2 linked regions of the Lepisosteus oculatus genome follow. The protein of the gene in region 1 interacts with the protein of each later gene in a pairwise test. Links are inferred from orthologs where the notes say so. Each region holds a gene or a part of one and is shown in the gene's direction. Other genes may lie near its edges.

Region 1 (15,495 bases):
CGTATTGACCTGATCCTCCACCTTGTTGTGACTACTCATAAGTTTAAAAAAAGTCTTCGAGGTTTAAGACTATATACATACTGTACCCGAAACGCATTTGTTTTCCACGATGTTGAAATTCGTGACACTTGAAAGAGACTGGTTGTCTTTTAAGAAATAGTTCTGTAACTGTTGTTTTAACCCAACCTTTACTCGTTTGTCCACGGGTCGAGGTGATGCAGAGCATGACTGAGGATCGTTTATTCTAAATAAGTTACTACAGTAAATAACTGTTTGGCGTCGAATTTCACAAAGCAAATTCGGCAATTGTGGAGTATGTTTTTTTTATTATTCACAGTTGGATTAGTTGCACGATTTGTCCTAACAGTCAACTATTTCTCGACTGCTTTGCGTCTGCTTAAACAATGTTTTTCAGTTCCGCTTGGATTACATTAACTGTATGTGAAGTTAAACAACCACAAAGTATTTTCCTTACCCGATTGATTTGACAAGCTATATATATATAGTATGCACCGGTAAGACATTTAAAATTATTTAGTATAACGTGCCCGTTGAGGCCTGTTTATGTATATTGGACAATATCAGGAAATGCTTTCACGAGAAAAAATATATTATTGGATCCCATCAGTACATAAACTACATTAGTAATATATTTCTGAGGGCTATTCATATATCTTATTTTTTACTTAAAAGTAGAAATCGGCTACATCGGATGTCGATGTTTTTTTAACATTTTAGCGGAAAACTGCGTTAGGTTAATTTAATAATTACCCCCTGCTTCTTCACAGATAAACACAATAATAACAGTTCAAAAGTGATTCAATGATGAAGTGCGGATGTTTTTCACAAAACGTACTAAGATTTAATTTCATCATCTTTTAACAATGCAAGTTATTAAACTTAGTAAACGTCCGACATCTTTTAAAATACAAACCGATGCTTTCCTGATGGCTTCGTTAATACAACAGTTGCCTTTTTATGCCATATGTTTAAAACAACAGTTTTATAACATCCTTAGTTTTATTAGATAATATTTAAATTGCATTGTGTAACTTTTTAGCGCGCCTTTTCATCCAGGTTACGAAACATTTCCCGTCAAAATGACGAATACCTCAACAACCCACAATCCGATTGGCTACGGGCTGTGTGCGTCAGCCTCAGGCCTCTCTGATTGGCTGTGTGCCGAGCGCTGCACGTGGTATTGTTTTGATTGGCTGTTGAGTTGTCTTCATTTTACGCATATCTTATTGGCCATCGGCGCTGTCATTCATCCTAAGACTGATTCTATTGGCTGTGAGCTCTGCTTTCTTGCTGATTGGCTGTACGGATTCCGGCGCCAACAGTTGAACAGATAAATTCACCGAGAGAAACAACCTCCTTTATTCCCCTCTTCGGCATTTGTAGTGCAGGTTTAGGGTGCAGTTGCTAGACTTCGTCGTTTTACACGATTAATACGAACCTTCGGAGTTTATTTTAGTTCGTCGTTTTAAGATCGTCGCTTAGTATTTCGTTTTTTTTTTAAGAACTCTTCTTCATCCCGGCAAACAAAGATGCTTACCGCTCGTTCTCCCCTCTCTGCCAAGAATGAGAAAGTGATCGTTTCCAAGATGAGTGCGGCTTCTTTAACAGACAAGGAGAACACGGTAAGTACTTGCATAGGTGCTGGCAAGCGAGGTATGTACTCGCTGGTGTAAGAGAAGCTCACGTCGTGTAACCCAGATCGGTTTTTGTCTTATGGCGGCGCTTATAAAAAAAACAACAACTTGGTGCTGGTAACTCCCGGTGCGCGCACTAAGGCTGCATTTATATAGACTTAAAAAAAACTGTGTGACTTCAGATTAGAAGCAACCCGTTATCTTCTAGTCAATTGTTGAGCGGGTTGGTGACTAACCGGGATTATTTTGTCCCTCTACTCGAATAAGCCTCCGAGCCTCAGCAGTACCAGGGTTTTGGCGTCCAAAACGGCGAGGAGGATCTTCGAAGACGCTGGGAACGAGGTGAGGCTGTTAAAAGATGTTGAAAACCTTCTCCTGTGTGTGTGGGGTGTTGGCGCCAAACGCAGCGCAGCTCTGCCTTGTGTGGTTATGGGAGGGGGAAGGAAATCGCTGCGCGGCGCTTTTAGACTCGGCGAGTAACTCGCTGGTCCTCTGTTACTGACGGGTAGGTGCGGCTTCAGGATATTTTTTTTCACTCCGGCGTCTCGGCCTAAACGTCGGCTTCCCGCGGTATGTCCTCTTTAGTGAGGTCCTCCGTGTGTCCCGGGAGCTCCGGGCTTGAAGTCCTGGCCGGCTCTCGGCTAGCTCAGCCCCCTCCCCCCCGGGTGTACAACCGCGGGGTGACGTGCGCCCGTCCCCCGTTTAAGTCGCTTCATTTCGTTTCCTCTCGCTGAAGCCCAAAGCGGAGAAGAGGACCGTGGAAGACGAGCCCCTCCTGAGAGAGAACCCTCGGCGGTTTGTCATCTTCCCCATCGAGTACCACGACATCTGGCAGATGTACAAGAAGGCCGAGGCCTCCTTCTGGACCGCGGAGGAGGTTGGCGTTTAATGCTCACTGTGTCCTGGGTGTCCGCCTTAATTCCGAATCGCTCTGCGATGTTGGTTATAGTCCTGTGGGTTTTATGGGGGGCCTTATTGATGAAGACCTGTCAGGTTCCTAATTAAGCAACTGATTAGTCCAAGTCGCTCAGGGCAAGGATGAAAACTACATAGAAATCCAGGGACAGCCATTTCAAACCCCCTGCTTTAGGTACTATGGGGAATATTTTAAACAGTGTTGCGTATTCACTGGTACCTGAAAGAAATCCTAATCCGTTTATCTGAGACCACCTGTTTAAACAATTTTGCTTAGCTTTGAGCTTAATAAACAATTCTTAAACTTGTGCTTGAGTGGGGGGGAAACTTGCATTCCGCAAAGAGGGTGTGACCTACAGTTGCAGGCAGCAGTGGTGCAGTTCTCCGTCTCTGATGGTATCCACCAACTTAGTCCCATGTGGAACTGCTTAGTTCACCACGAGTATACGGACCCCTTTCCTGGCAAGTGGTGTAGGAATGTGATCAGTCTTCTGCAGCTGTGTCGTTCGAAGGCCGTCGAGAGGTGTCTAATCGCCTGTACTTTTGCCAGGTGGACCTCTCCAAAGACCTCAAGCACTGGGAGTCCCTGAAGGACGAAGAGCGGTACTTCATCTCCCACGTCCTGGCTTTCTTCGCCGCTAGCGACGGCATCGTTAACGAGAATCTGGTAGGATCCACAACCGCACCCTGCTCTAGATGTTTTGTTTCACAGTTGGCATTTTTCATATCGGCAGGAAATGTCTGTAAGTGCGTGCAGACCCCAGACCAGATCCTCCTGTTTCATTCAACTCTTTCTCCCCCCTCCAGGTGGAATGCTTTAGCCAGGAGGTTCAAGTGACTGAAGCCCGTTGTTTCTATGGCTTCCAAATCGCCATGGAGAACATCCACTCTGAAATGTACAGCCTGCTCATCGACACGTATATTAAAGACCCCAAAGAGAGGTCAGTACAGCTCTTGCCTCTCCTCTGGTACAACCTGCAGTTGTACACCCAAGCCAGAGTTATTGGGCTGCAGTTCCTGCTGATGCTGACCCATTAAACAGGCCACACAAGCCCCAGTTAGTAGTTAATTGATCCCAGGGTAGCTTGTTTTATACTCCACTTAATGACCAAAGTTGTGCACTGTTATCAGTGACACTCCAAGCACTTCTTGCTTTCAGTTGCTCCCCATGTTGACCTAGAAGATGTAGGTCAAAATGTGCTTTTGCCAACTGGTCTTGTATTGAAGGTTTTGTTCTTTTTGCAGGGAGTTCCTTTTCAACGCCATTGAGACTCTGCCCTGTGTGAAAAAGAAGGCTGATTGGGCTCTGAACTGGATTGGAAACAAAGATGCTGTATATGGTATGCAAGGTTTATTGGGAGACGTGCCTGTTCTAGCACAATGATCTGCCTTAAACTGTCACTTTTCACACCTGTCCAATCTCATTGTTTTTTTTTTTTTCCCTGTACAGGGGAGCGTGTTGTGGCCTTTGCTGCAGTAGAAGGTATCTTTTTCTCTGGGTCATTTGCTTCCATATTCTGGCTGAAGAAGAGAGGCCTGATGCCAGGCCTCACCTTCTCAAACGAGTTAATTAGCAGAGATGAGGTGAGTTTTTTCTTCCGAGAGCCTGTTTATTCCCCCCCAAATCCACAACCATAATCTATATGCGTATTCCTAGTCTATAGTGACATTAGCATGCTTATATAGGTCTCTCTGTTCCTTCGGCTTTGCTCCTTTGCTTCTGGATTATGCATAGTTATTCCGACCTGTGAGCTGTCGGTTAGATGCCTTTCTCAACAGTGGTGCTCTGCCTAATTCAACCTGCAAGTTTCTTTTTAGGATTCCAGACACCTGCTGTACAATAGCACACAAATTGTACTCCATCCAATGCTAGCAAATGAATCATGCAGTCTTGGTTTTTTTTTCTCTCCTAGGGCCTTCATTGTGACTTTGCCTGCCTCATGTTCAAGCACTTGGTACACAAACCCTCCGAAGAGAGAGTCCGTGAAATCATTGAAAATGCCGTCCAGATAGAACAGGTGTGTTCCCTTCCGTTAACCCGGGCTGGGATGTTATTTTGTTCTGTTGGCTGATCCCATGTGTTTTTTTTTTTTTATTGTATAGGAGTTCCTCACTCGAGCTTTGCCGGTGGACTTGATCGGCATGAACTGCACTTTGATGAAGCGGTACATTGAGTTTGTGGCGGACAGGCTGATGCTGGAGCTGGGTTTCAGCAAGGTAATTCCTTCCACTTGTCTAGTGCTTTACTGGTCATTTTCCGTTGCGAGTTGCAGGGTGGTATGGCTGCTGACAGCACTCCTTGACTATGAGGAGCTGTCTGAAAGCTGCCCTTAACAGGTTTTGGCACTTATTTTGTAAATGGCAATTTGTGTCATGATGTAAAAGTCTGTTTTAACCCATTTTACAAATCTGGGTAAAAATTTACTATTTGTTTGCCAGTGTTTACTGCAGTGCTCAGTTTAGCTTACTAAACTTTAAAGCTCGAGTTTATAGCCTTATGCTGCTCTTCAGTGAAGTGCAACTGTCTCCACAGATCTACAGGTCTGAGAATCCTTTTGACTTCATGGAAAACATCTCCCTGGAAGGAAAGACCAACTTCTTCGAGAAGCGCGTAGGGGAGTACCAGAGGATGGGCGTCATGTCTGCGCCGACGGACAACACGTTCAGGCTGGATGCCGACTTTTGATGCGGACGAGCGCGATGGGTGATGGGACTGTATGCATTAGCGCATCCACAGAGACGGGACCGATGCCCAGAGACGCCTCTGTTCCCGTATCGCTTGTGTGTTGCCGTGAAATAGGCCACTAAAGCAGACCGTTTTGCACAACCTCCCTGGAAACGTGTCAAAGGGATTCAATTGTACAGTTTTTAATGTTTTATGTAAATGGTTATAGTTTTATATTGGCTTTATAATAAAGGCTGTTTAGAAATTCCTTCTGGGTTTAAGGATCTGTGTCAAGCCTATGCTCCTTCCTCAAGGATACAGAGGAGGTTCTGTACCTGACTTTACTACACTGTGGTTATAGTAAGAACCTTTCAGTTTAACAGGACATGGGTATTGGGAGGGCTAGTACACACCAGTTAGTACAATGCAGTGATGTTTTGTAAAACGTCTTGCAGATGGGAGTATCGGCTCCACTTCTTCCAGTGGAGCTGATGGCAGAGCACCCTTCCAAGTCTGTAGTAATAGTCCTGCCACTCAAGGCTCCCAGCACTCCCTCCTTCTAAACAGTCTCCGTTTTCTCCACTTGTACCGTCTTGCCTGGTCTCTTGCCTACAGGAGGTTCCCAGTAAGAACACTCAATGCTGCTTTTTTATTTAGGCGGTTTACTGCAGCCTTCTGATCCACTGTGGTCTCGGATCTATGCTTACCACTTTGTGCTCTCAAACGTGGCAAAACAGGTGTAACATCCTGCACTGCTTCAGACTTTACAAGTTGTATGATGACTAAATCTTAATCTGTCCTTCGCCTCAACCCAAGAGCTTTTGCGCTAAGAACTTGAGAGTTTAAAAGCAAGTATATTTTAGCCTCTGGGTCCGTGGAGTGTGGTTTTTGCAAATCTAATCCATGAAGGAATATCCAGTTGCAGAGCAGTGATTGTGTTCCACTGCTGTGATACTAGAAGTGTAATTGGTTATGGTAGTACAAATCATGAAAGTTGTTTAATGTAATTCTGGGTTTAGCTGTAGTCCCTGATTTGGGGACTTAAAGTACTTGGGTGCTGGAACCCCTTGAGTAAGCAGGGAGCTGTCTGAGGGTGGGATATAAGTCAGCTGAATAGAGGGAGAAAGAATGCTGTTGCACTGCCAAGGAGATGAGCAAACCCAGGGTAAGGCTCATGGTTGGCCCACACACGAAGGTTTTCTCCACCCAATTAAGAATAATCAATTAAATTCGGCCGGGCTCGTGGTTTAGCATTTCAGGGGTGTTTTTTTTTTTTTTCACAGATGTGATTAAAACTTAGGAATGTTAAGCGGAAAGTCGGAATGAGATCTTGAAAAGGCCACAGTTCTAGCCCACGATGTATGGTATGAGGAAGCACATTCAACCAAGCTTGAACCTCTACAGTAAAACAACTTTGTGGGTGTTACTTCCTGAACAGTAACTGTCGGGATGGTTCCTGACCTGATGGGCTGGGACGTGAAGCAGTTATGAAGGAAAGATGAGTCTAGCAAAGACAGGGCTGGGACTGGCCTTTTGATATTTAAAATACGAACAATATAACCAGAAATTAGGGATCCAGGGAAGATTTAATAGTCAATTTCATCGATTTAAAATCAGTTTGCCGGATTAATCACCTAATTTTCAAGTACCGACATTCGTTTGAACATTTCTGTAGACATGTTTGGATTTGAGCAAACCAATAGCATTCCTATTGTTTGAAAGCATTTTGAGAAAAAGAAAAACACCTCACGTTTCCTTTCCAGACGGATGTGTTTTACCCACAATCTGATTATTCAAGTGCAAAGCCACATGGATCTAAAGCTCATTTTCGAACAGCACGATCACATGGTGACATCTTCCCAGCATCAACAACCTGCCAGGGAGGACCTTCAGCCACGATTGGCTGATAAAATTCACTCCGCCCTCCAGGTCTGCGAAAGAGGAAGTGAAAATAAGGCGGAATTAAAATTGCGTGCAATTTCGTGATATAAATCGCTGGACCAGGGCACGTATTCACTCAGGACAGGAGTCATGTCTGTTACGAGTCCCAGGCAAACGGTTTTAAATCCGGTAAGATCTCTTGCACCGCACTGCGGGTGTACTGCACAGCACCCAGTGCCTCACAGCTGCCCTGTGGTCGGTGACGCGCAAATGTCGCTCTGTTCTTTCGTTTTGGGACCGCCGGGTGTGCTGCACAATGTTATATATTTTAAAATAAAATTAAGAGAGATGCTTGGCGAGATCGTGTCGCGTCGGGCGCGCCGGCCTGCGTCACTCGAGCAGACCATGTTGTGCGGCATTGCTGTGGAGATGAGCTGAAAGAGACGATTATGGACCGAGAGATAAGAGTCAGACCGTGTTCTCCCCTACCCACTTCACTCCTCAGCAGAAAAAGAAGTGGAAAGTGAAATCTGTCTTGCTTCATGTATTAATGTTTGCTGGAAAGAAGTAAATTCTGTGTGCACCCCACACCGTATTGGGAGCCAGGTCATTAAATGAGGTGAAAATGCAGTAGATTTAGTAGTGTCGCTTCTCTAGATTTACCGTAACGCCTCTTTAAGTCGTCGGCTGGTTTATTTCCAGTTTGCTTTAATTGCATTGGCTAAGTCGTGGTTTGCAGTTTCGTTTCTGAGTTAACTTCTACTGCATTGATTTGAGAAACCGCGACCAGCTCATCTGCGCTCAGTCTGTATAGAGAAACTGCATTATTGCCTCTTTTAACATTCGGATTAAAATGGCCATTTTTCGTTGTACCTGCCACTCATGTCAGTGGTTTTGTAACAGTTTAATGTATTACAGACACTACAGCAATTATGGGGTTTAACGCATATTTATTTTCATTACAAAATGTTACTTTAAAAGGCTTTACTGATAACACACTGTATAACCGAATAATAAAACAATTCAAACAGTATAAAGCACATCAGACATAACTTATTATACATTAATTATCCAAATATTAATGAATTAATCAGATATGAATTAAATTACTCTTTTGAAAAGTAATCACGCGATGGGAGTTTCAGAAAGGTGAATTATAAAAGAATAGCTAAGATATTTCACCAGACATATCTTATTTGGCTCGATTTTAAGGTCGAAATAGAATTTATTCATGGGAATTGTCTTTCAAATTCGGGGCTGTATGAAATTAGCTTTCTGAGATAATGGATACACAAGAGGGTGTTCTGATTGGTAATGTAGCAACGCCTTTTGCGTTTAACAGTTCAGACCGGAGCAAGTCCATGCTGTCGGTGACAGTCACCTGAGTCCTAGAAAAGAAACTAGTTTCAAATTCCAAATGATCCCAAGGCAAAGGCGAGCTTCAAAATAACGTTATATACTCAATTTCATTGTCTTTAAAAAGAAAAACATGAGGACAACAAAGAAATGAATTCAGTGAAAATACATATCTCGGAGTCTGATACAATTGTATTTGACGTTGCAGAGCTTTGATGACCAGATGTGTATAGAACAGTTGATTCAACAGGGTGGAATTTTAATTTTTAATGTGAAATTCTTGAAACAGAAGTCAGGTGTCATCAGTGCCAAGTAAAAACCGAGTTTCACAGCACTCACAGAAAGAGCCCACAACAGACAAGAACCCTTTGAAAATATGTGCTGACATGATTTAATTATTGGTAACACGAATGTTTAAAATTGTAACCATTGGATGAAGTATTGTGGTATGAGCGTAAGATTGCGCATTCTGTGTCATTATAGGCAATTCCCTATGCTGGGACAATACTGGGGGGACTTCATCCTGGTGATATGGTACTTATCCAAGGAGCAGTTCTCAGTGATGCTGACAGGTAAGCATTTCTTTTGAGGAAATTTAGCAACTAGTTTGCTTACAGAAAGTCCACACTGCTCGCAATCCATGATTGTTGCCATGGAGACTTCTGAAACCCCTTGTTAGTATCAATCATGAGAAGCTGCTGGCAAATACAACCTTTTATCACCAGATAAGAATCTGAACTCAAAATTAATAGAGATGTTTTATTAGCTGAATGTTTGCTCTTTCTAAACTGAAAACAGAATTAGCTTGGGACAGAGACAAAGGTCACTTATGTGGACTGCTTTTGCAGCAGACTTCAAAGTAAGTATTAAAATTCACTAATTCTTAACATCTTTGTAGGACTGGCCTGAATAAAAAGGCAAATTTAGTTTTCTTACGGATTCTGGCAGTGAACTCTCAGTGATTCATTGGTCTCTGTCACTCAACAGAGAGCGCAGTTCAGCGAATGACACTCGAGTGGCAAAACCAGGCGTGTGCATACTAGTGGCACATGAGCTGTTCTCTATCATCCGTCACAGGTCTGGTGATGGAGTAACAAAATCGGAGTCAAACTTGACAGGACAAATATTTCTTAACAAAACAAAACACCATCTGTACGATATGCAACGTTACACAACATACACCAGTTCATCGATCTCATGTATTTAAAAGACCACGTGTTTCAAAGGCTAACGTCTTGTAGACCTGGAAACAGGGAATTCTAGCCCTGTAATCTGGAATCAATGCCTAAACGGACCAAAAAGAGGAGAACCCAGCATTGCCTGGAACTTCTCAGAAATAAATCTTCCCTTTTATGACCATGGATATGCAGAAGTGGGAATCATTTCCACAGTCATTTCAATGAATCGGAATCATTTCCTGTTCTAGAAATGCATCGCCCAACCGGGAGAGAACGTTTTTAGTCCGAGGATTCCACAATGCAGGAAATCAGAATTTCCCAAAATAACCGGACAGCAAGATCTCTAAAACAAAGTTCAGATAGCTTATCCAGAGCCTGGTCTCCAAGAGTCATCGTAACAAGGTCCTCTCACATGACACAAGCTTCGAGCGACAGGAGGGTGATGGTGTTGTTCCTGTGTTCCTTTGATCGTCTGTGTTTACCTTCCTCTTAGCTCACCTTCAGATAGGCAAACACTGCAAATGCTGAAACGATGTAGTGCAGTCACAGTGTTAACTGCAAACGTGAGAGACTCTGATACGACAATCTAATGGGAGATAATGGTGCCTGGCTCCAGCATGATGAGCATTGTATTCATTGATCTGTTGATTGAGGAATTTGCGGCCCAGTGTTGTGTGATTTGCTGCCGTATTGGATTCGGGGACAGAATGAACAGCTGGACTCTCCGCTCGCCGCAGGTTAACAGTGCAGAACCACCGGTGCAGGTGATCTCCTCGCACGTACTTGTGGCTTCGCATTTCCAGCGTCACCCCGGTTCTTTCGCCCCCTCCCTCCCTGTCCAGGTTTCAGGTGGATTTTATGTGTGGGAGCAGCACCAAGCCCCGTGCTGACGTGGCCTTCCATTTCAACCCCCGGTTCAAGCGCTCCCCCTGCGTGGTGTGTAACTCGCTGCAGCAGGAGCGCTGGGGCAAGGAGGAGATCCTCTACGACTTGCCCCTCCAGAAAGGGGAGAACTTCGAGACCATCATTCTGGTGGAGGGAGACATGTTCAAGGTAAGATGTCCCTGCCGGGTGGATTCCCAGTGTAACATCTTAATGATATATAAATATCCTTACTCTTATACAGCGCTTTTCTGAATACTCCACTCAAAGCGTTTTACAGGTAATGGGGACTCCCCTCCACCACCACCAATGTGTGGCATCCACCTGGATGATGCAACAGCAGCTATAGTGTACCAGTACACTCCTCACACACCAGCTCTCAGTGGGGAGAACAGAGTGATGGAGCCAGTTCAGAGATGGGGATTATTAGGAGGCCATGATTGGTAAGGGCCAATGGGAAATTTTGACCAGGACTCCGGGGTAACACCCCTACTCTTTTCGAGAAACGCCCTGGGATTTTTAATGACCACAGAGGGTCAGGATCTCATCCAAAGGTTTTATATCTCATCCAAAGGATAGAGCCTTGTGTTAAAGTATAATGTTTCCATTACTAACTGGGATATTATGACCCACACATACCGTTGGGTGAGCGCCCCCTACTGGCCCCACTAACACCACTTCCAGCAGGAACCTTAGTTTTTCCCAGGAGTCTCCCATCCAGGTACTGACCAGGCTCCCACCTGCTGAGCTTCAGTGGGCTGCCAGCTGTGAGTTGCAGAGTGATATTAGCTACTAACTACTAAACAGGCTACAAACGGGTATCCTCTCCTCTGATTAATAACCGTTCACATGTTCTTAGCCCTGGCTGACTGTTTCTTTCAAGAGATTGATTGAAACATTGCTGGTTTGTAGCCTGTTGCTGCTGGACGAGGTATTAGTGGGGCCAGTAGGGGGGCGCTCACCCTGTGTTCTGTGTGGGTCCTAATGCCCCAGTATGGTGACGGGGACACTATACTGTAAAAAGGCGCCGTCTTTCAGATAAGATGTAAAACCGGGGTCCTGACTCTCTGTGGTCATTGAAAAAAATGGTCAATAAAAGTGTTACCCCGGTGTCCTGGACAAAATGTCCCCCTGGCCTTTACCAGTCATGGCCTCCTAATAATCCCCATCCATGAACTGGCTTCATCACTCTGCTCTCCTCCCCACTGAGAGCTGGTGTGTGGTGAGCGTTCTGGAGAACTGTGGCTCATGTCGCATCACCCAGGTGGGGGCTGCACACTGGTGGTGGTGGAGGGGATCCCCATTACCTGCAAAGAGCTTTGAGTGGAGTTTCCAGAAAAGTGCTATATAAGTGTAAGGAATTATTATTATTATCTCATATTGAAAGAAACCAAAGTATCAGCTTCACATATATGGCTGTGAAGCTTGTTCCAGACTCCCACAAACCTTTGCGTAAAGAAACGCCTGATAACATGCCTGCAGCTGACATCCACCCAGACTTCGGTATAAATGTTTATTCGGCGGGAAAAAGCCTGCCGACAATGAGCTTCGTCAAAACAGCGGTTTTCCCAGTTCCCAACATCTGGGTGGAGTTTGTTGTGTTGGAGATTCATGGCTCCAGTTTCAAACCAGCAGCAGGAGGCACGTGCTTGTACTCATTAGGAGTACAGTGGGAGAGGTGCCAGGTGTTAAAAAGCACTCCCACACGGGCTCCTCTAGTTTGTGCTTTGCTGTTCGTCCTGAAGACGTCCGCTAGGTTGACTCTGTCCCTGTCTTTGAGGATTGTGACTACTTGTGTCCGTCCTCCTCGTGGGCTTCTCCGTTCAGGACTAAAGAGGTTCAGTTCCTCCGGCCCGTCAGCGTAGGCACCGTCGTGTCCAGGGTGCGCTACCAGGGTAGAGGGGGCGTGAGTCGGGTCCTCTCGGCGCGCGGCGCTACGGCGGCTCTGGTGACTTGGCTGCTCGGCTGCAGCGATGCTGCTGGGAGCTGCTCTCCCCTTCGGCCCCCTGCCAGGAGGTGAACGACTCGGACAGGTGAAGATGTAAGAGGAGCTTGTTTGCAAGTGCTCATGTGCCTTAAAATAACCAGTCCATTGCAAATTTGGCAGATTATACAGTATGACCAGAAATAATTCTCCAATTTTATAAATAAAGGTTGGGTGGCATGTTGGCACAATGACTGAAATGACTGCCCTGCAGCGCTGGGGCCCTGGGTTCAATTCCTGGGGTGCTGTCTGTGCGGAGTTTCAGTGTTAGTGTGGGTTTCCTTTCAGGGACTCTGGTTTCCTCCCACAGTCCAAAGACATGCTGGTTGGTTAATAGGCTTCTGGGAAAATTGGCTCTAGGTGTCAGTGTGTGTGTGTTTGCTTCTGTGTGTGCCCTGCAGTGGACTGGCATCCTGTCCAGGGTGTATCCTGACTTGTGCCAATTGCTTGCTGGGATAGGCTCTGGCTCTCTGTGGCCCTGAACTGGATAAAGCTGTTAGAAAACGAATGGCCGGATGAATAATGGTCCTCCTACAGATTCCTGCCATGAAAATGACACAGAGATGATGAGCGACCGAGCACCAAGCACAAAATGCACAGCAGTAGTTGTAGGGAGCTGCGTCAGCATGCGCAGGCTGCAAAGGAACAGGTAAAGGTTTATTCCGTTCTGAAAAGAAAAGAGACGCAACATGTCGGCTGTGGAGCCTTCTTCAAGTGAATTGGATAGAGTGGTTAGATAAACCTTTATCCAATTTAGCCTTCTTCACACCTGGAGAAGGCTCTACAGCCGAAACGTTGTGTCTCGTCTCTTTTCTTTTCTTTCCAGCGTGGAATAAACCTCCACCTGTTCTGTTTGAGACTCTCTGCTGCTGTTCTGTAGGGTAAGCCATGCCTTCTTGGCTCCCAGCTGTGAGAGCGGAGTGTCACTGCTGTGCCTCCTCTTCCAGGTGGCCTTGAACGGGAAGCACCTGCTGCAGTACAACTACAGGGTGGACCTCAAAAAGGTGGACACGCTCGGAATAAGTGGCAAAGTCAAGATTGAGGCCATTGCATTCGTTTCAAGCTCTGTAAGTAAATATTCTTGGGGTTTCCTTCAACAGTACTTCAGAGTACGTTTTCAGCAGGCACTACAGAGGAGTGCATCTCTTTTGTTTCTCTAGTTGAAAAATCGCAGTTTTGCTACATTTAGCCGACAGACCCCCCTGTTCCTAGAAATGAAATGCTCTTGGTCATAAATTGTGAGTTATATCCATTTTAAAAAATGTCGTAAACCTTATTGAACACTGCATGTCTGGGGTTATTTGCCTGGAATGTATTCAAGAAATATGGTCCTGAAATGTTACTTAAATCGGCTTTTATCGGTTTGTGTTAATAGTGGGACCGCTATGTGTCTTGTGTCTTGTGACCGCTTGCTAACTTGCTCAGCAAAAAAGACACAGAAAATGTATCCCTGTATGGTAGATGCTACAGATCTAAGGCTCTGTGAAATGGACCCCCCTACAAACAGCACAAACAATATAAACCCACCGCATTTGTTAGTGCGCCGCGAGTGTTGGTCTGTGCCATTGAAAGTAGCGTCCAAGCTGTTTTCTCTCCAGAGATACATGCCTTATTTTTTCAGGGAATTACGTGACGGTCTACAATGAACTTTGCCGGTAATAATACACTCTAAATAGTGAATGTGCTTAATTATTGAGCTTGAGGAGGTGTGATACCAGTCGACTTTTACGTATTTGCTGCGCGCAAAATACTGCAAACAGCACAAACAATGAAACACACCGTGCTCCGTTTGTGTCGTTGAAAGTAGCGTCTGAGCTGCTTTCGTTCCCGAGACTTGGAGCCTTCTTTTCGGGGAATCGCGTGACTCTGTGACCTTGGCCCCCTACGAACACACAAAAATCATGACCCCCCAGATCATCCAGTTGCGATCTTTTGATCGGTTGAAGCCAGGAGTTTGTCTCTATTTCCGATATATTACCTGCACCTCCGGCTAAGCCCTCTTCTTACGAATTGTAAATTATTTCCAGCAGTGTGAATGATATGATTATAACCAAATACAGAAACGTTACACTGTTACATACATAGGATTATACTTGTGGGTACAAATGCCGAAGGAGTACTTTAGGGAGTTTGGAATTATGTAAGGAATAAACCACATCAGGCATGTTTAACCCTAATAACTATGTAATACAGCCACTGGTAATTGCAGCATTCTGTTCCTAATGTTGTTTTAAGTCTTGTAAAAGTCTTGTGGTGAGATTAACATATTGCAGACGGATCTAATTTAACTATTCACATAGGCGCACACAAACATACAGGTGAATGACTGTTATTCAAATGGAAAAGATCCTCCCCACACCACCCCCTGCACAGACAAGAATGCAGTTTGCAGGCTTTGTCATCAGTTAAAACACAACTATTCCCTTTCAGTGTCAGTGCTTCGTTATCGTCATTTGTGAGCAGCAAATATATAAAAGCAGACCGGTACCAAGCCTTCTCATATTCAGTAATTAAGTCAATTAAGTACCGAGAGTGTGTTACTACCAGTAAAGTTCCTTGTAGACTGTCACCTGATTCCCTGACAAAGTAGGCTCTATATTTCGGGAACGGAAGAAGCATAAACCCTACTTTCAGTGACACAAACTGACACTAACAGAGGACTAACGAGTCGGGGGTTTCAGAAATTTATTGTGCTGTTTGTATGGAGGGCCAACTTCACAGAGCCTGGATCCAAGCAGTTGATGAAAACATCAGGTTGGAGTGTGGGCGAGGAGAGCTTCAGTGTCCAGTGTCAAAAATCGAGGCCAGGCTCTTAAGAAAAGGCACCTCTTTCAACGAATGGAGACCTGATTATACAGCAGTGTGGGTCTTTTGTTGTCTCTGACTACATGGGAAGAATATTAAGAGCGTCCGTGGGAGTGATTGAAATGCTTCTGCTTTTTCATCAATGTTGGCTCTCGGTTCTGTGGCTCTAACTTA
Region 2 (15,318 bases), on another chromosome or scaffold:
TGAGCAAAACATTCACACAGCTAGCTGAGATATCCAATTTCCATTCAAAATCTGGCCAAAGCAGAAGGATCCTAGAAGACTTTTTTTTTCTCTCTTATGCACACAATTGAGTCCAAATGCGAAGTCGGAGTTGAGCACAAACCGCAGTACTTACAGACTCCCAAAACATCTGATCTCGATTAGTTCAGGGAGGAAACAGAGACTAACCTGAAATTTCATTTGCTTGCTGAGACACGTTCAGTAAACCTCTCAGGTCAGTTTGCTCCTGCTGTTGTGTTGTAGATCCGCTGTTCCAGTTACCCTTGCTGCAGTTTCACGATCTGGGCATGCTGCAGCCGGTACCATTGCCACTGAGTATTTTATTTCTGTTCGTGTGCTTCCTTTCATCCAAAACGACAAGCAGACAAAGGGTGGTCAAAAGCAATTTCCATTTCCAACGTTCTATGCAATGATTCATATTTGAAAAGAAAAAAATGTTAATATTTAATACCACTATCAATGTTATGTTTAAGATTACGACGAAAATCGTGTTTCTGAGGAAAAACAAACTGGATAGACTCGTTTGTATTTAGCTACTTGTACGTATAGAATTTAATTATTGAATTTGTTTTTTTTTTATTTTAGTGGCATGTTCGAGCCCCTCACTCCCCTCTGTGGGACCCATTGCCAAAGGGTTCACTGTTAGTCTCTCATTTAGGTCTGTCATCTTGTAGCTTTGCGCATGGGTTGCTAGATCAGATTTGTTGTGCTCAGGTTTCATGTCTGCAGGGTGAATAGTGTTCTCCACTACAGGGCTGCCTGTCTATGCACTTGTTATTTAATAAAACCAAAACAACATCCACAGATGAATTCTCCACACTGAGAACTCCCTGCCTCAGAGAAAGGACAAACAGTAGATCTGACAGATCCTTTTATCAACGCGTACCAAAGCAGCTGACCTCACAGGCCTCTCCTGATGGCAGAGCCCCAGATAGATCAGAACTCCGCGGCAGTTCAGTGGAGCTTCGTGAAACATTTTTTTTCATTAAACGAAACATCTGTAACAAAGAAAAAGATGATCCACCTCTGAGTCAGGACATTCTCTTGAAATTCCATGCTTTTGTGCTCTCGTACAAAAACAGATAAAAGATTGTGACTTTAGATATACAGGAAAAATTTTACTTCTTTGTAGCCTGAAAGATTTGCCTCATTTTTGTAGCCCTAGTTTAATTCATCTGCCTGATACCCTTTTACCTTGGTGTAGGCCACACACTATTTTATGTTGTCTGATGCCAAAAAAGAAATGTTAATACTCTCAGCTGCATGTTGCACCTTCTTGTGAAGTTTTCCTCACGGTCAAAAGCAGACCTAACTCAAACCAGTGCAAAATAATTTTATAGCAGTAGAACTTCTTACGAAGGGATGTTGGTGCATTTCAACATTGCAGCCAGATCAGGCCATTCACAAGCATGTCCGGGTTTAGCTACAGTGTGTTTTCTGGATGGTATTTCCAACAGTGATTCGAACAACAGCATTTGTTGCCCATCATCCTACTTGCTTATACAGTAGCCTTTAATGTCCAAAGTCCAAGGAAAGGAATAGCTTGGTTATGTGATATGGCTCATGGAGTAGGCAGAGCAAGGCCTGTGGAATCTTAAGAAGCTTGCTTAAATTAAGGAAGTAGCAGAGGAGATGTCATTAATTAAGCCAGTAATGCTTAATTTTGTATTATTTATTAAACAGTTGCTTGTTCAATTAAAGTTTAACAATGCCTTCTATCTTTAATGTTTAACAAACAACAGGATTCATAGGACGGCAACAGAAATAATAACACTGCTCAAAGAAAATAACACAATTACCCTTTTATACTTCCTACACAGTGTCAGAAGAAAAGGGTTCTGCAAAAGCTGGCTTTAAGATTACTTGAATAATAAGTCATCTGGGTTAAAGAAGGGGGAAAGCTATTTCATATTGTTTACACTGTCTGATTGTAAATGGCATTCATTTTATTTAATGGAACTTCTGCATAATTTATCACTAATTTAATATGCAATTGCATCAGAATGAATGTTAATTTATACATGCAAAATAAAGCATTACCATTAAGTTTGTATTCATTAAGCTCCTCGTTCCTAATATTATCTTAGCACCCATTCTCCTAGACGGGGTTGAGCCATAACAGACAAATTAAATCATTTCTGCTTGTCTTTCCTTAAGATCTTTTTTCCTCACATTGCCTTTGTGCTGTAGTAAAATGTACTGTTTCAGCACGTTTGAATTGTGTTAAAACTGTGAACTATTATATAAACATTAAAGCTATTGCCTCTATAAAGACAAAAAAGACAGGAACAAATTAAAACTATCGTTAATGAGTTTTAGCAATTTTAGAGATGAATTTCAATATTTATCTTGCTGCATTTCTTTTTAGGTAATTCCAAATATTTTGGCATTAATGCCACAGTACAGTAGGATGATTGTGAAGTGATTTATATTGACAAGTTACTTAGTTGTTCATGAGATGTAATGAAAACTGTTCTTGGTACAGTATCTCTGGAATCATCATTGTTATTAATATTGTTATGGATTAGATACATTTGAGTTTAAATCTAGAATGACCCACCATTTTAATCTTATTCTTAGCAAAGGTTTGTATAATAAAAACACAAGCTATATTAAAAGAAAAAAATGAACAGATGCACATATCCATCTAAACATGTTACCTATATCATAAGTAAAGAGCTGGTTTTATAGTAATCTATTTATGATCATTGTGATTATTTTTAATTATTATTCAATAGGGCATCTGCATGAATCACAGTTAATCTACTGTAAAAAATCCCTTAGTTAAAGCAAAACAACCTATGCACACCAGATATTCCCAAACTGCTAAACTAACTGCTGACACCTTTGGAAACTTACCGAGTTATCTTTACTATTTCACAGAATGGTTTATGTGAGATCACCTGAATTAAAGAAATATCTGTACAGAGTGACACAAAATCACATTTTCTCATTATAATCCTCACGAATAGCTTAATATAGATGTATGGAATGTTATTTCCTCATTATTTCCATCTTATTGAATGCTACTGCATAATCATTCACCACGAATGTCTACAAAAAAACTAACTATGCAAGCTTCCATTGCTTTTTACTTAAATGTAATGAGAATGCTACAAAACAGAAAAAAAGTCATATTAAGAATGAGTAGGCTATCTTGTCAACAAGTAGGAAATAAATGTTAAATAATGTTGTATAACCTATGGAAAACAAAAGCAAAAATTCACATGTCAATAATACAGGAAATACGGTTTAAATCTATACTATAGTGTTTTTAATACTGCTTTAGAAAAATCCAAAATTTGAGAATCATGTAGAGTTTTTTTAATCTGAGTATGTACAGTATAGTTCCATAGTTGACACCAGTAACTTGTAGTTACAGTGTAATAATACGACTGTTACATGTTGCTATAGAAAGTAGTACTGATTAATGAAAAGGAATAGTTCCAGAAGCATCGGATTGTTCTATTTTAATACCATATTGCTCAGATTACCCTTATATGATTAATGTTACTTTAAAAAAATAATCAATTTGACATCTATTGATGTTTGTTACAAATGAGGATATTGGAAAAAAAACAATCTCAAGCTCTTATTAACATCAAAGTGCTCCTATTAGATTCACGTGTAACTACAGTATTCTGTCTGTATCCACATTTTTCATGTAGTCGGTATACTGGTATAATTCAATTGAGAATTAATCTGTAACATATGCTAAAGATAGTATTGCATATTTAAGATATATCAACACTGGATTTGGGGTAAGATTCTGAAAACAAATGATTCAGTAGAAATTAAACTTTCAGTGGAGTTTGGCATTGTCCTTTTGGCTCAGGAAAGCACATTCAAAAACAGTTTGAACTGCAACAGAATATGAGGGTTTGATGTATAACAAGCAAAGGGCTTTTTCTCAAATGGAGGATGGAGAGATGTATTACCAATAGATCAGTAAAGCCTTATTTGCTCTGCCAGTGTTCCCAATTCCAGTAAGGCGGTAACACTTGGGATATTCCTATCCAGGGTCTCCAGCAGTGTCTTTAAACATCATGTGTTTTTTTTTTCAGTATAGCACTCTGGTCTTTTATTCACGGCAATGAAACAAATCCATTTTGCTTTTCATCACCCGTGTACTAGCTTTGACATGCCACTGACAGGGTGATGGTCCTGTTTGCCGAGACATGCTACAGGACCATCATCGGAGTGTCAGATCATCTGTGTGGCCGGTGTTTAAAGTTAATGAATTCAGAACCCTTAGAAAAGACCATGGCAACCTACCCCCTGTCACAAACACATTGCCTGCACACGTTTAGGCAGGGGAAACCATTATTTTTTTATTTTCTCCCCATTTAATAACAAGTGCATGACCTAAAGCAGCCACAGGCACATTTCCCCCATTTTGGAAAATAACTGGCAATCATTTTCACTGTAAATAACGGCAATGACAATACAGGTCTTGTACAGCGTGTAAATGGATCACTAACGTGGGACGTTTTGTGCGTCCCTTGCTAGCCAACCTGCCAATTTGTGCTTTTGTGTATAAAAAACATAAAGCATTTGTGTATGTGGCTGGTTCATATCGACTGTTGAAAACAAAAGAACTTGTATTCAGAAACATACTGGTCTGTGTAGAGTTTCTTTATATGTTGTGTTTGTATAATGAGAATACTTCCTTAACAAAGTTATCCTGGCTTCCATGTATTTTTTTGGGGGGAGGACTTGGGGGGTGGATGTGGATCTGTAAAAAAACTATAAAAAATGAAACAAAATAAACAAAGTTACATTCACTGTTGTAAGTGCAATGAGCTGAACATCATGTATCCATTGTAAACTCTTGTGTATGTTTCAATGTATTCCTGTAAACAGTTGTAGTTAAATTTGGTGCATCATGTCATGTAATGTGATTAATGAGATAATGACTCTACAATACATTTCCAGCAGGAAAAAAATAAAGAAAAAATGAAACCTATCGATTGCTTCAGAAATAACTTTTTTTTGTAAGCAGGAAACTGCTTGAAGAAGAAACTGCGTTTCTTCCTATTGCTAATCGATGCAGTGAAGACAATAACACAAATGTATTCTTCACATGGTCTGCTCGGATTCCTTCTGGAAAAGGAGCAGTGAAAAAGAAACGATCAAGGGCATGCCAGCATCCCTGTCATCCTGCAACTTACATCCGCCAAGCCCACTGGAGCTCAGCACGCGTGAGGGTGGCCAGTACCTGGATGGGAGACCACCTGGGAAAGCTAAGGTTGCTGCTGGAAGAGGTGTTAGTGGGGCCAGCAGGGGGCGCTCACCCTGCAGTCCATGTGGGTCCTAATGCCCGAGTATAGTGACGGGGACACTGTACTGTAAAAAGGCGCCCTCCCACTGTAAAAAGGCGCCAATTTCCCATTGGCCTTGTGAAACATTTCGATCATGGCCTCCTAATAATCCCCATCTCTGAACTGGCTTCATCATTCTGCTCTCCTCCCCACTGAGAGCAGGTGTGTGGTGAGCGGACTGGTGCATCATCCAGGTGGGGCTGCACACTGGTGGTGGTGGAGGGGATCCCCATTACCTGTGAAGTGCTTTGAGTGGAGTGTCCAGCAAAGCTCAGTCCTAAAAACTGTGTAGAGTACTTCTAAACATACACACAACGGAATAAGGTGCATCGGTCATACAGCGAAGTTTTAGCTGAATCAAAAGAAAGGTTATTTTACATTAGATACATCTTTTTTTGGTTTCCTGTTTTTTTAGATAAAGAAGCTCAGTCCAATTAGGTGCAGAGTTTTATAAATCATAAAACCGATTATTCAAAGCACCTGTACGTTTACCGATGGATTGATTGAGCAAGCAATCGATTCGATTGAGTGAACCCAGGTCCATGAAGACTTAATTTTGTCCCCACATAAAACTACATTTCTTCATTTTATACAGCGCCCCAAATTTGTTCACAATTTTTAGAAATCGATGATATAATGATGACCTACACGGAAGGTCACAGGTGAAATTAGACCTGTCCTGTAAATAGGGCGTAATCATAAGACACCCACATGGGCGAGGGAATCCGCCACTTCCTGATCGGGACAGCCCACCCGCTCTGCAGTTCCGTAGGAGAGCACAGTGACGCAGATCTGAAATAAATTCATGTACCAACTTCACGGTTTACAGGCTGTAGTTGATATCAGTCCATTTTTGGGAAATAACTGGATAATCCAAATGTTATGCTTTGAACGTCGGCTATAGTAATATGATTACTCCGTTTAAACTTTTCCTTTCACCTATTTCCTTTCCTGCGTTGGTACAGTCCACAACTTTCGTTTCAGTCACGCCCTTTTGGAAATGGGACTACATCATTGAGTTTAATGGGAGGGGGGTACTATTTATATAGAAAGCTTTTGGTTCGTTGCTAATGATTATATTGTACTCACAGAGTTGCGTCTTTTATGTATATTTAATGCTAAATTATGATTCAAACATAGATTGTTATATTTTATTAAAATTTACTTAGGTCATTTTATTAACCCCCCCCCCCGCTTTTTTCTGCATAGTGGAGGCTCGTGTACAGTCTGACGGCAGTATGGAGTCTCAGGTAAAGTGGTTTAGAGTCGAAATCACAGTAAATTCATTGCTGGGTTTTTATTTCGTTATGTGTAATGCACTTGTCAGAGTTATTTTAAAGACGCAATATTAATTATGTATAGTTCTTATTTAAAGCAAGTTTTATTTCGTCAAATCTCGACAACTTTGTTTCAGCGGTCATGTCACTGCGGACGCAGTGTACATAAAGTAGTGATAGGTTTTTCTAAGAGAAACGTTTTTCCCCCTGGTATGTATATGTCCTATTCCACGGCTGGGCATTTTTCTTCCCAGGTTTCTTCTGCATTAACCCATAATGTAAGAAATATTTCCCGGTCGGTTATTGTTTTGTTTGACGCCATTTGCAGCGATGCAATATTTGGGTTTGGTTTTGCTTCAACGGTTAATTCGGGACGTGAACTAGATACCCCATTCAAAATCATTTGATAAAACTTTCAGGTTTTTTTTTGTACATTTGGTATTATACCGAGGGTAAATGTCGGGAAAAAGTCTTTGTCCACACCCTATGCTTGTAAGTTAGTATTTTTTCCTGTTCGCTTCCTGGTAAACGGTAATAAACGGTAATAAACGGAATATTGTTGCCATACCGGCTGTTTAAAACCACTTTCGTCACGACCTCTTAATCACTGTTGATTTTTAAGATTTGGCTCATTAAGTCGCAGTTTGTTAAATCTGAAATAACGATTTTCCATTTATCATAGGAATCTTAAAAATTTCAAAATGAAAATAACCTACAAGTTAAATAAAATAAGATCCTGTATTTTATTAATTATATTGTTTCTAGGCATAAGCGGCAACACTGAAACTAAAGCCTGTTACGTAGTAGTGTTCTTTTATGTGCTTTGGAGCGGAAGTAACGTCATTTTTCATCCTAGGCCGGTTTTTCCCTCAACAGGTAATCACGAATCCAGAGGAGATTGTCAACATTTACAGAGAGCAGAGTCGGTTCCCGTCTCTGACAAAAGCCTGTATCGGACCCGTGATTACATCCCAATATGGGGGAAAATACTCTAATATCTACACAGGTGATTACTGTATTTGATACCAATTTATGAAACCTAATGCAGACATTTATATTATAGACCTCACCAGCGTTGCCAAAAACAGATCACACATACCATTTTTTTTGCATGTTTAATGCATGCTCTGATGATGGTACTAATTAAACTAATAAGCCTTTCATTGAAATCCACCAAAGTATTGCCAATGTGGAGACCAGTACATCTAGCATATAAAAAGTTAGTAAAGAAGATTCTGTCCAGGCAAACTCTCCTTGGCTAGTTACTTGTAGCAGAAAGATCTAAGGATTTCATTCATCTGTTTCTTTAAAAGATCAGGTGCAGTAATCTCATTGTGTTCCATATGCTACCACTCTGTGTAAAGAAATGCTTCCTATTCTTTGTCATAATCATGCTACATTTTAGTTTAGTTGTTCCATTAATCATGAAGTAGTCCCTTGGATTAATTTTGCCAGTGCCATTTCATGTTTTTAATGCCTGATATGAAGTGTCCCCTGTCTTAAAATTATTCTAACTTGTGTTTGCATGACATAACGTTTAGAGCAGGAGTTAATCTTCTGCAAGCTGTTTTTCGGGGACTGGTGTTTTTTTTTTAATATGGTCATCGGAGTTCTCCAAAATGCTCATAAAATGTAATGGTCCATTTGTCAAAATGAGTGAAACTTTATAATGAAATGAACCTTGAAATTAATCTTTTCCTGCTACCATCTGTGTAAATCATGGAAGACTGAAGTATTGGACCAGTTCCATAGTGTTCAAAATTCTTCACAGGAATAAAAAAAAAAATGTATTGCCGAATTTCAATGTCTTCCAGAATGGACCCAGTGTGATCTGGAACGGAACGAAAACGTCAAGTTCTGTCGACAGTACATCGTGTTTCACGATGACAAATCCATTGTCTATTCTGGACCATCAGGAAATTGCACAGAGATAAAGAGAGAGTACGTGTCTTCATTTTCTTTATTATGAAACCAGCGGTCTGAGGATGGCCCAAGATTGCCATCTTTCTAATAATGCATTTCCCTTGATGCTGGACAGCATTCAGTGGATCGTACAGTACCTGCAGTAGCTGAAATGCTTTCTCCATGATTGTTTTTCAAAATTAACTGATGAAAAACTTTTAGGAAACCTGGGATTCATTCAGTAATTGCAGAACTATTTCTAATTTAAGGCTCAATACGTCTCAGGCCTCAAACCTGATCAGAAAATGAATGCTAATAATTCAACTGATCTAATTTCTGACCACATTCTGTGACCCTCTCAAAAAATGTCTGCAGGTGTCACACCTGAAGAAGGCTCCATAACCGAAACGTTGTGTTTTCTTTCTTCCTTTTTTTTCAGCATGGACTAAACCTATTACTTGTTCCTTTTTATACTCTTGCCTCTGTATATGTTCTGTTCCGGTGCTTGTTTTTTTTTTAATTCTTCACTGTATTTGAATTTATTGCCAATAAAATCTTACGCTGCATTGTATAAACTGTGGTATTGTGGTATAAGAATATCCATTCTTATTAATACACGTTTTCAATACATTTTTAAATCAGTCTCTCAGCATTATGAATAAATAACCCCAGGATTTTTTTATAGCTGATAAATCCTATTTCCTCATTGATAAGAGTTTTTTTGTTGATATTCCCAGGCTTCTGAGTGCAGACTCTCCTTCAGGAGTGATGAAGGCTGTCATCCGGGAGTGCAGCATCAAGGGAGAGGACAAGCAGTTCCTTGAGGTTAGATAATTCCTTACACTTATTTAGCACTTTTCTGGACACTACACTCAAAGCACTTTACAGTAATGGGGCTCCCCTCCACCACCGCCAGTGTGCAGCCCCACCTGGATGATGCAGCAGCAGCCATAGTGCACCAGTATGCTCACTAGACACCAGCTATCGGTGGGGAGGTGAACAGAGTGATGAAGTCAATTTGTAGATGGGAATTATTAGGAAGTCATGAGTGGTAAAGGCCAGTGGGACATTTGGCCAGGACACCGAGGTAACACCCCTGGGACTCCCTGGGATTTTTAATGAGCACAGACAGTCAGGAACTTGGTTTTACGTCTCATCCGAAGGACAGTATACTGTCCCTGTCACCATACTGGGGTATTACGAGCCACACTGACCGTAGGGTGAGCGCCCCCCTTCTGGACCCACTAACGCCTCTTCCAGCATTAACCTTAGTTTTTCCCAGGGGGTCTCCCATCCAAGTACTGGCCAGGCTCACACCGGCTGAGCTTTAGTGCATTACTCGTTGCAAGTTGCAGGGTGATATGGCTGCTGGCCATGTTATAGATGTGTCAAGGACACTCTGGACTGTTAATTGCAGTTTGAACACTACCACAGACATTTTTAGAATGCATCTCTCGTATTCCAGCTCAGATGAAATATTTGCCAATGTAATCATGCTAAGGACGTATACCAGTATGAGTGGAGAAAGGTTTCCTCAAGGCACCACTTGCAGCTGAGCAGCATTAGCGGTTTTCTGCCTTCCCATAATTCATTCTGGCACCCTGAGTCTGTACGTGTGCACAGAATAAGCTGTCAAATTCAGGTTTATTTGTGAGCATAATGGTAAACTTGGTTTAGCTTTAATGTTTTATATTGGTTGTTATGCTGCTTTCTAGTGATGGATTCCCTTGTTTTTTTAACTCAGTGATGCTGTCAGAACCCCTGTGCTCCCACTTCTGTCCACTAGAGATCGAATTGAAGTGTGCATCGTCATGCTGCTGTGTGAGAAACATTGCCACCTGCTTTCTGCACGTACCTGGTGCCGAATGACTTTGAATCCTGGGAGAAATATTCTAGAATACAAGTTTGACCAGACCTGCAGTGCTTATGTGAGCTTTGCCACACTCATCGAGTGCATTGTTTCCCTCAGATCTGGAGCAAGAACTGCAAAGTGAAGAGCATCAATCTGACTGCACTCAAAAAACACGGGAAAGTCTACGAAGATGGTAAGGAGCTAAAGATTTTTTCAGAAGCGCACTTTTTCAAAGTATGGCTTTGCAGTGTAGTAAGAGACAGGCTTATGGCCTTTGTACTGGACCACAGCTCCTCACAGCAACCTCTGACCATCCATGGTCTTCAAACATGTGAAGCACGGCAATGAATTTTAAGGAGGAGGTCTGATGTCACAGCTTAAGTTTTGCTTATTTCCCACGGTATCATAAGCACACTGCAAACTGTGCATTGGATGTCAGTTTAGCAGTTCTGTCTGCAGATCTTTCAGAATGCTGTGGGTTTCTCACAAACTTCTCATCTCTTCCAGATCAGTTTGGCTGCCTGGTATGGTCCCACTCGGAGACTCACCTCCTGTATGTGGCAGAGAAGAAGAGACCGAAAACGGAGTCCTTTTTCCAGGTCTCATAAAGGTGTCATTTGAACAATTACAAAGGATGTTATTACAGCAATGTACATTGAGAGGCTCTTTCCCTTTTTGGTGTCTCTGCTTTTGCGAGAAAACTCTTTAGTACCCACTTTATGTGGCTTGGCTCGGCTCCAACAGAGTTGTTGGACATGCAGAAGGAGCATTATGGATCCATGAGTCTTTCACCCATCTCTCTTTTTCCACTTTCACCCCTTTTCTCTTTTCGAGCTGCTGAAAAAGGTGGTTGGTAGTTTGCTGTGTAGTTAAGGTAAATTCTGTCATTCCGTTAGACCTTTTAATTTGTGTTGCTCCCAACAGACTGAGTCGCCGGAGACCAGCACTCTGGGTGTTGAAGAAGAGGCTTTGAAGGCAGAGAACAAGGAGGAAACCGTGAAAGTAGGTGCAGTGCCTTTATAGTTTTTTCTTAGTAGGTTCATTCTCTGTATAGGAACACAGGGAAGGTTGCAAACGAGAGCAATCCATGCAGCCCATCCACCCCAGTTGGTAGTTAGTAGTTAGGTGATCAAGGATCTCTTCCAGTGTTTTCTTAAAGGAAGTCGCAGTTTTATTTTAGCCACATGAATGGACAGTTTCTTCCACGCTCCCACAGCCCTATGGGTAAAATGTTTCCTGTTCTCGCTTTTAAATGCGCTTCCACACAGTTTACACTTGTGTGCTCTTTTTTTATTTGATTACTTGTATCGCGTCCCTTGTTGTCTTCTGTTCAGCCTGTCAGTGTACAACCGAACTTGACGAATAGAGAAATTCCTCAATCACATTTTGGTTAAAATTGCTCTTATTTTATTTTCATGCATTTCGGGAAACGTATTTGAACTGAATTTGAAGATTAGGCTAAATGGTTGTGATACTGCTAGCAGCTTTAGGTTAACAAGAACTATTTGAAGCCCTTGCCCCTCAGTTTTAGGAGGATATTTCAGTTTCACAGCTGAGGAGGCCTCGGTTTTCTCTGCTTCCATCTGTAGCTCTTCCCCGCCCCCCTGTTTTTTAGGGTGACCAGTTCGTGTTTTATGAAGACTGGGGTGAAACCCTGGTGAGCAAAAGCACCCCGGTGCTCTGTGTCCTTGACATCGAGAGCAGCAACATCTCTGTCCTAGAAGGAATCCCCGACAACATCTCTCCAGGCCAGGTCTGACTTGGGGTTCTTTATTTTTAAAATAACGCAGTAGAGTGAACCTCTTTTGTGTGTGCAGGGAATTACGGCCGCTACTTGTGACAGCGTCTCTGTATTTCAGGCTTTCTGGGCCCCCAGTGACACTGGTGTGGTGTTTGTGGGCTGGCAGCATGAGCCATTCCGCCTGGGTCTGAGGCACTGTCCCAACAGAAGGTTAGCACTGTCTGACCGAAAGCCATGTGTTAGCGGTTCCTACTATCGTAACGGAAAATGTGAAATTATGTGGATGAGAGGAGGTTGTGTGGCCCGTCTTGCTCATCCAGTTCACTTAATGATTCAGGAGGTCTCTAGATCGTTGTCACAAGCCCCTAGGGACTGGACAGCATTGCGGTTTGTCAAATGTATTGTAGAATATTGACCGTTTCCTTTAAAGTTCTTATCGTCATTGTCTTTATGCGGCTTCAGCTAAGAAATACTCAAGAGAAAGAGAAACTGAACCTGTCATACTCCAGGTGACACAAACTGAAGCTCGTTCTGTATTTTAGGTCTTCCTTGTTTTATGTGGATCTGACTGGTGGCAAATGTGGTAAGTGAGGTAATCCCCTTTTGGCATTGTCCTTGTAATCTTTTTTTGCATGTGGCTTTGCTGCTAGGATTGTTAAGTTTTATGGACAGAATGTCATTAGGCAGAGGTGTTTTCCATTACTGTGCTGTAACACAATTAGTTTTTTTTTTAATTAGCTGCTAGCGTGCAGAATCTGAAAGGCCAATACTGTTCAGTCAGCTATTGTGGTTGCAGAGACCTTTTCATAAGCACTGCCTGTAATGTGCGCATTCTCGTTTTTGTTGTTGCAGTGCAGCTCTCTTCAGACACCAGCGCGGTTTTCTCTCCCCGCCTCAGTCCAGACTGTTGTCGGATCATCTATCTGGAGTGTGGAGTGTTTGGGCCACATCAGCAGTGTAACAGGCTCTGCATGGTCAGCTTGCTTTAGAATGAGAGATGTTACTCAGTGATGTTTAATAGCTCGTAAACCGATAAATGGATTCCTGTTGCCTTGCAGTGTCAGATGGTTGTGCCTCATACTTATACTGCAGCATTGCTGATTGACAGAATGGGTTTATGTATTCATCTCAGCTTCTCTGAAGAGCTCCCCTGTCTAAGCATGTGTAGATAAAAGCGATGCAAAGTTTAATGTTGAAACTACAGGTATTTTCAATCCGCAGTAAAGTCTTGTGTAATTATTGGCAATATGCGCAAGTGGTGTCCCCTTAATTTCCTGTTTAACTGAATTTTTTTGTTTCTTTATGTAAAGGTCAATATGGGAAATCTCTAGAAAATCATGTGGTTGGGGAGGTGAGGGGCGTGTTTGGATTTGTAGTTTTCCTGAACATTTTTTTTCCCCTCATTTTCAGTATGATTGGTACACAAAGCAGACTAAAGTGGTGGTGGACGTTGTCGACAGGCCCACATCAGGTAACCTTGGCCGAACCTACCTTAGTCTTTCTGGTGCTTTTTAATTGTACGTAAAAGCAGCGTTACTGCCTTGTCGCAGGATTCGTCCCTGCTGTTGCAGTAAGCGGTGTTGGTGGACCAGAAGGTAGTGCTCTCCCCTCTAGTAACCCATCAAATGTTTTGCATGTTTGCCAGTGACGATGTACTATGCTTTAGATGAGGCATGAAGTCATGGTCCTAATTACTCCATTATTAAAACTCCCATTTCACTGTTCTTAAAAGCACAGGTGTTAAAACCTGGTGTCCTGACTATGTATCACACTGAGCATGCATATTTCAGCTGCTGAAGTTTGCACCGTTCTACCTGATATGCTCTATAGTGATACTGCAGGCACTACTATGCCTGTGAATAGTACCTGCTGAACTGAATCTACAATTCACTGGTAGATATGGGGCTCTTTATGTGTACAGTGCTTTGAGATCTTTGCGATGAAAAGTGCTATATAATCGTGATTAATTAAGCATACAGTGAAGTGATTAGATCTCATACTATCAGAGAATGATATAGCACTGTACAAAACATTATTTTCTGTGTTTCTGTGGTACCTCACTGCAGAAGACGGAAATCCACTTATCATTTTGTGTCTGTGTAAAGCCTTTCAGGCATTATTTGTACAGCACACATCGCAGAAGCAAGCTTGTGTGAAAGGCTTTAAGTCCAGGCTTGCAGTCGGAGAATCACATAGATGTGAGCGTGTGTGATAAGTGTTCTCGTTTCCTCCAGCTGGTTTCACTGGGATCTACAGCACAGCACTCTCCCCTTTCTGCTGGTCAGCCGACAGCCAGAGAGTTGTGCTTGCTTCCCCACAGAAGAGCAGGAAGGTGAGGCTACCGCCACGGTAACGTTTCCTGGAAATGGATTTGTACAGTCTGCTGTAAAAAAAAAAAAAACTTGTCGGAAAGGGTAATAAATTATATTAGAACTAATCTTTGAAACACCGTGTTCTCGTGATTACAGATCCAAATTATAAGACCTTAGGAGCTGATGTAGATTTTACTGTCTTATAATGGACACTCTTTTCACTTTATTTTTTTAGGATCTTCTTGTAGTGCATATTAACACTGGGGATATCACATCGCTAACCACAGGTAAGTAAATCTGAGCTGGAGTTCAGACACTATCACTAAACAGTCACTTTCATCTTCCTCCTCTGTTGAAAGGCGCTTTGTGAGGGTCTTGAAGGAGTTGTCTGCTTTCGTTCGCAAGTTTTTCTTAAACGAAAGGGTTTCGTTTTCCCGCAGATTCAGACGTGGGGAGCTGGACTCTGCTTACCATTGAGCGAGACCTCATGGTGGTCAGCTGCTCTTCCCCAAACCATCCACACAGCTTGGTGAGCCTCTTCTCATGTCTAACACATTGTTGTTTTCCTGTGTGTTTCTTAGTACTCGTTTGAGGAATCAAGTATTTTTTTACCTTTTTTTTTCTTCAGGGTGGAATTAACTTTCTTTAATATAAAAAATAGATACTGTAAAAAGATATAATGCTGAGGAATTAGCACTTTTATGCCTTTGAGTGAGCATTTATTTTTGATTCATAGAATATTTAAAATGACGCCTAACTAGATCTTGGAATAAGTGAGAGTGAATGAAAGACAGGCCCTTATATACACCCGTTGTTTTCTTGTAAGAGTCATGTGCCTTGCAAAAAAAAAAAGTCTTATTACTCAAGCCACCAG

What was found.
Region 2: the proteins of lgals8a (region 1) and apeh interact in binary tests that used the Homo sapiens proteins (3 or more experiments, as listed by UniProt). The two-hybrid records come from large-scale screens. The link is inferred for Lepisosteus oculatus from reciprocal best matches to the Homo sapiens genes LGALS8 and APEH.

What each region holds. Positions count from the first base shown.
Region 1 is NC_090697.1:11,722,945-11,738,439, reverse strand, and holds the start of lgals8a (galectin-8), read left to right. Parts: upstream 1-7,081; 5' UTR 7,082-7,266; coding exon 7,267-7,305; intron 7,306-8,955; coding exon 8,956-9,044; intron 9,045-10,492; coding exon 10,493-10,703; intron 10,704-13,463; coding exon 13,464-13,583; intron 13,584-15,495. Other genes in the region: rrm2 (ribonucleoside-diphosphate reductase subunit M2), read left to right, coding at 1,551-1,643, 1,923-1,997, 2,392-2,532, 3,121-3,237, 3,378-3,511, 3,816-3,910, 4,021-4,154, 4,484-4,588 and 2 more.
Region 2 is NC_090699.1:64,303,297-64,318,614, reverse strand, and holds the start of apeh (acylamino-acid-releasing enzyme), read left to right. Parts: upstream 1-6,687; 5' UTR 6,688-6,714; coding exon 6,715-6,915; intron 6,916-7,513; coding exon 7,514-7,643; intron 7,644-8,451; coding exon 8,452-8,578; intron 8,579-9,276; coding exon 9,277-9,364; intron 9,365-10,508; coding exon 10,509-10,584; intron 10,585-10,898; coding exon 10,899-10,990; intron 10,991-11,315; coding exon 11,316-11,393; intron 11,394-12,006; coding exon 12,007-12,144; intron 12,145-12,250; coding exon 12,251-12,342; intron 12,343-12,674; coding exon 12,675-12,715; intron 12,716-12,984; coding exon 12,985-13,106; intron 13,107-13,542; coding exon 13,543-13,603; intron 13,604-14,366; coding exon 14,367-14,464; intron 14,465-14,679; coding exon 14,680-14,731; intron 14,732-14,884; coding exon 14,885-14,973; intron 14,974-15,318. UniProt on the Homo sapiens protein: This enzyme catalyzes the hydrolysis of the N-terminal peptide bond of an N-acetylated peptide to generate an N-acetylated amino acid and a peptide with a free N-terminus. It preferentially cleaves off Ac-Ala, Ac-Met and Ac-Ser.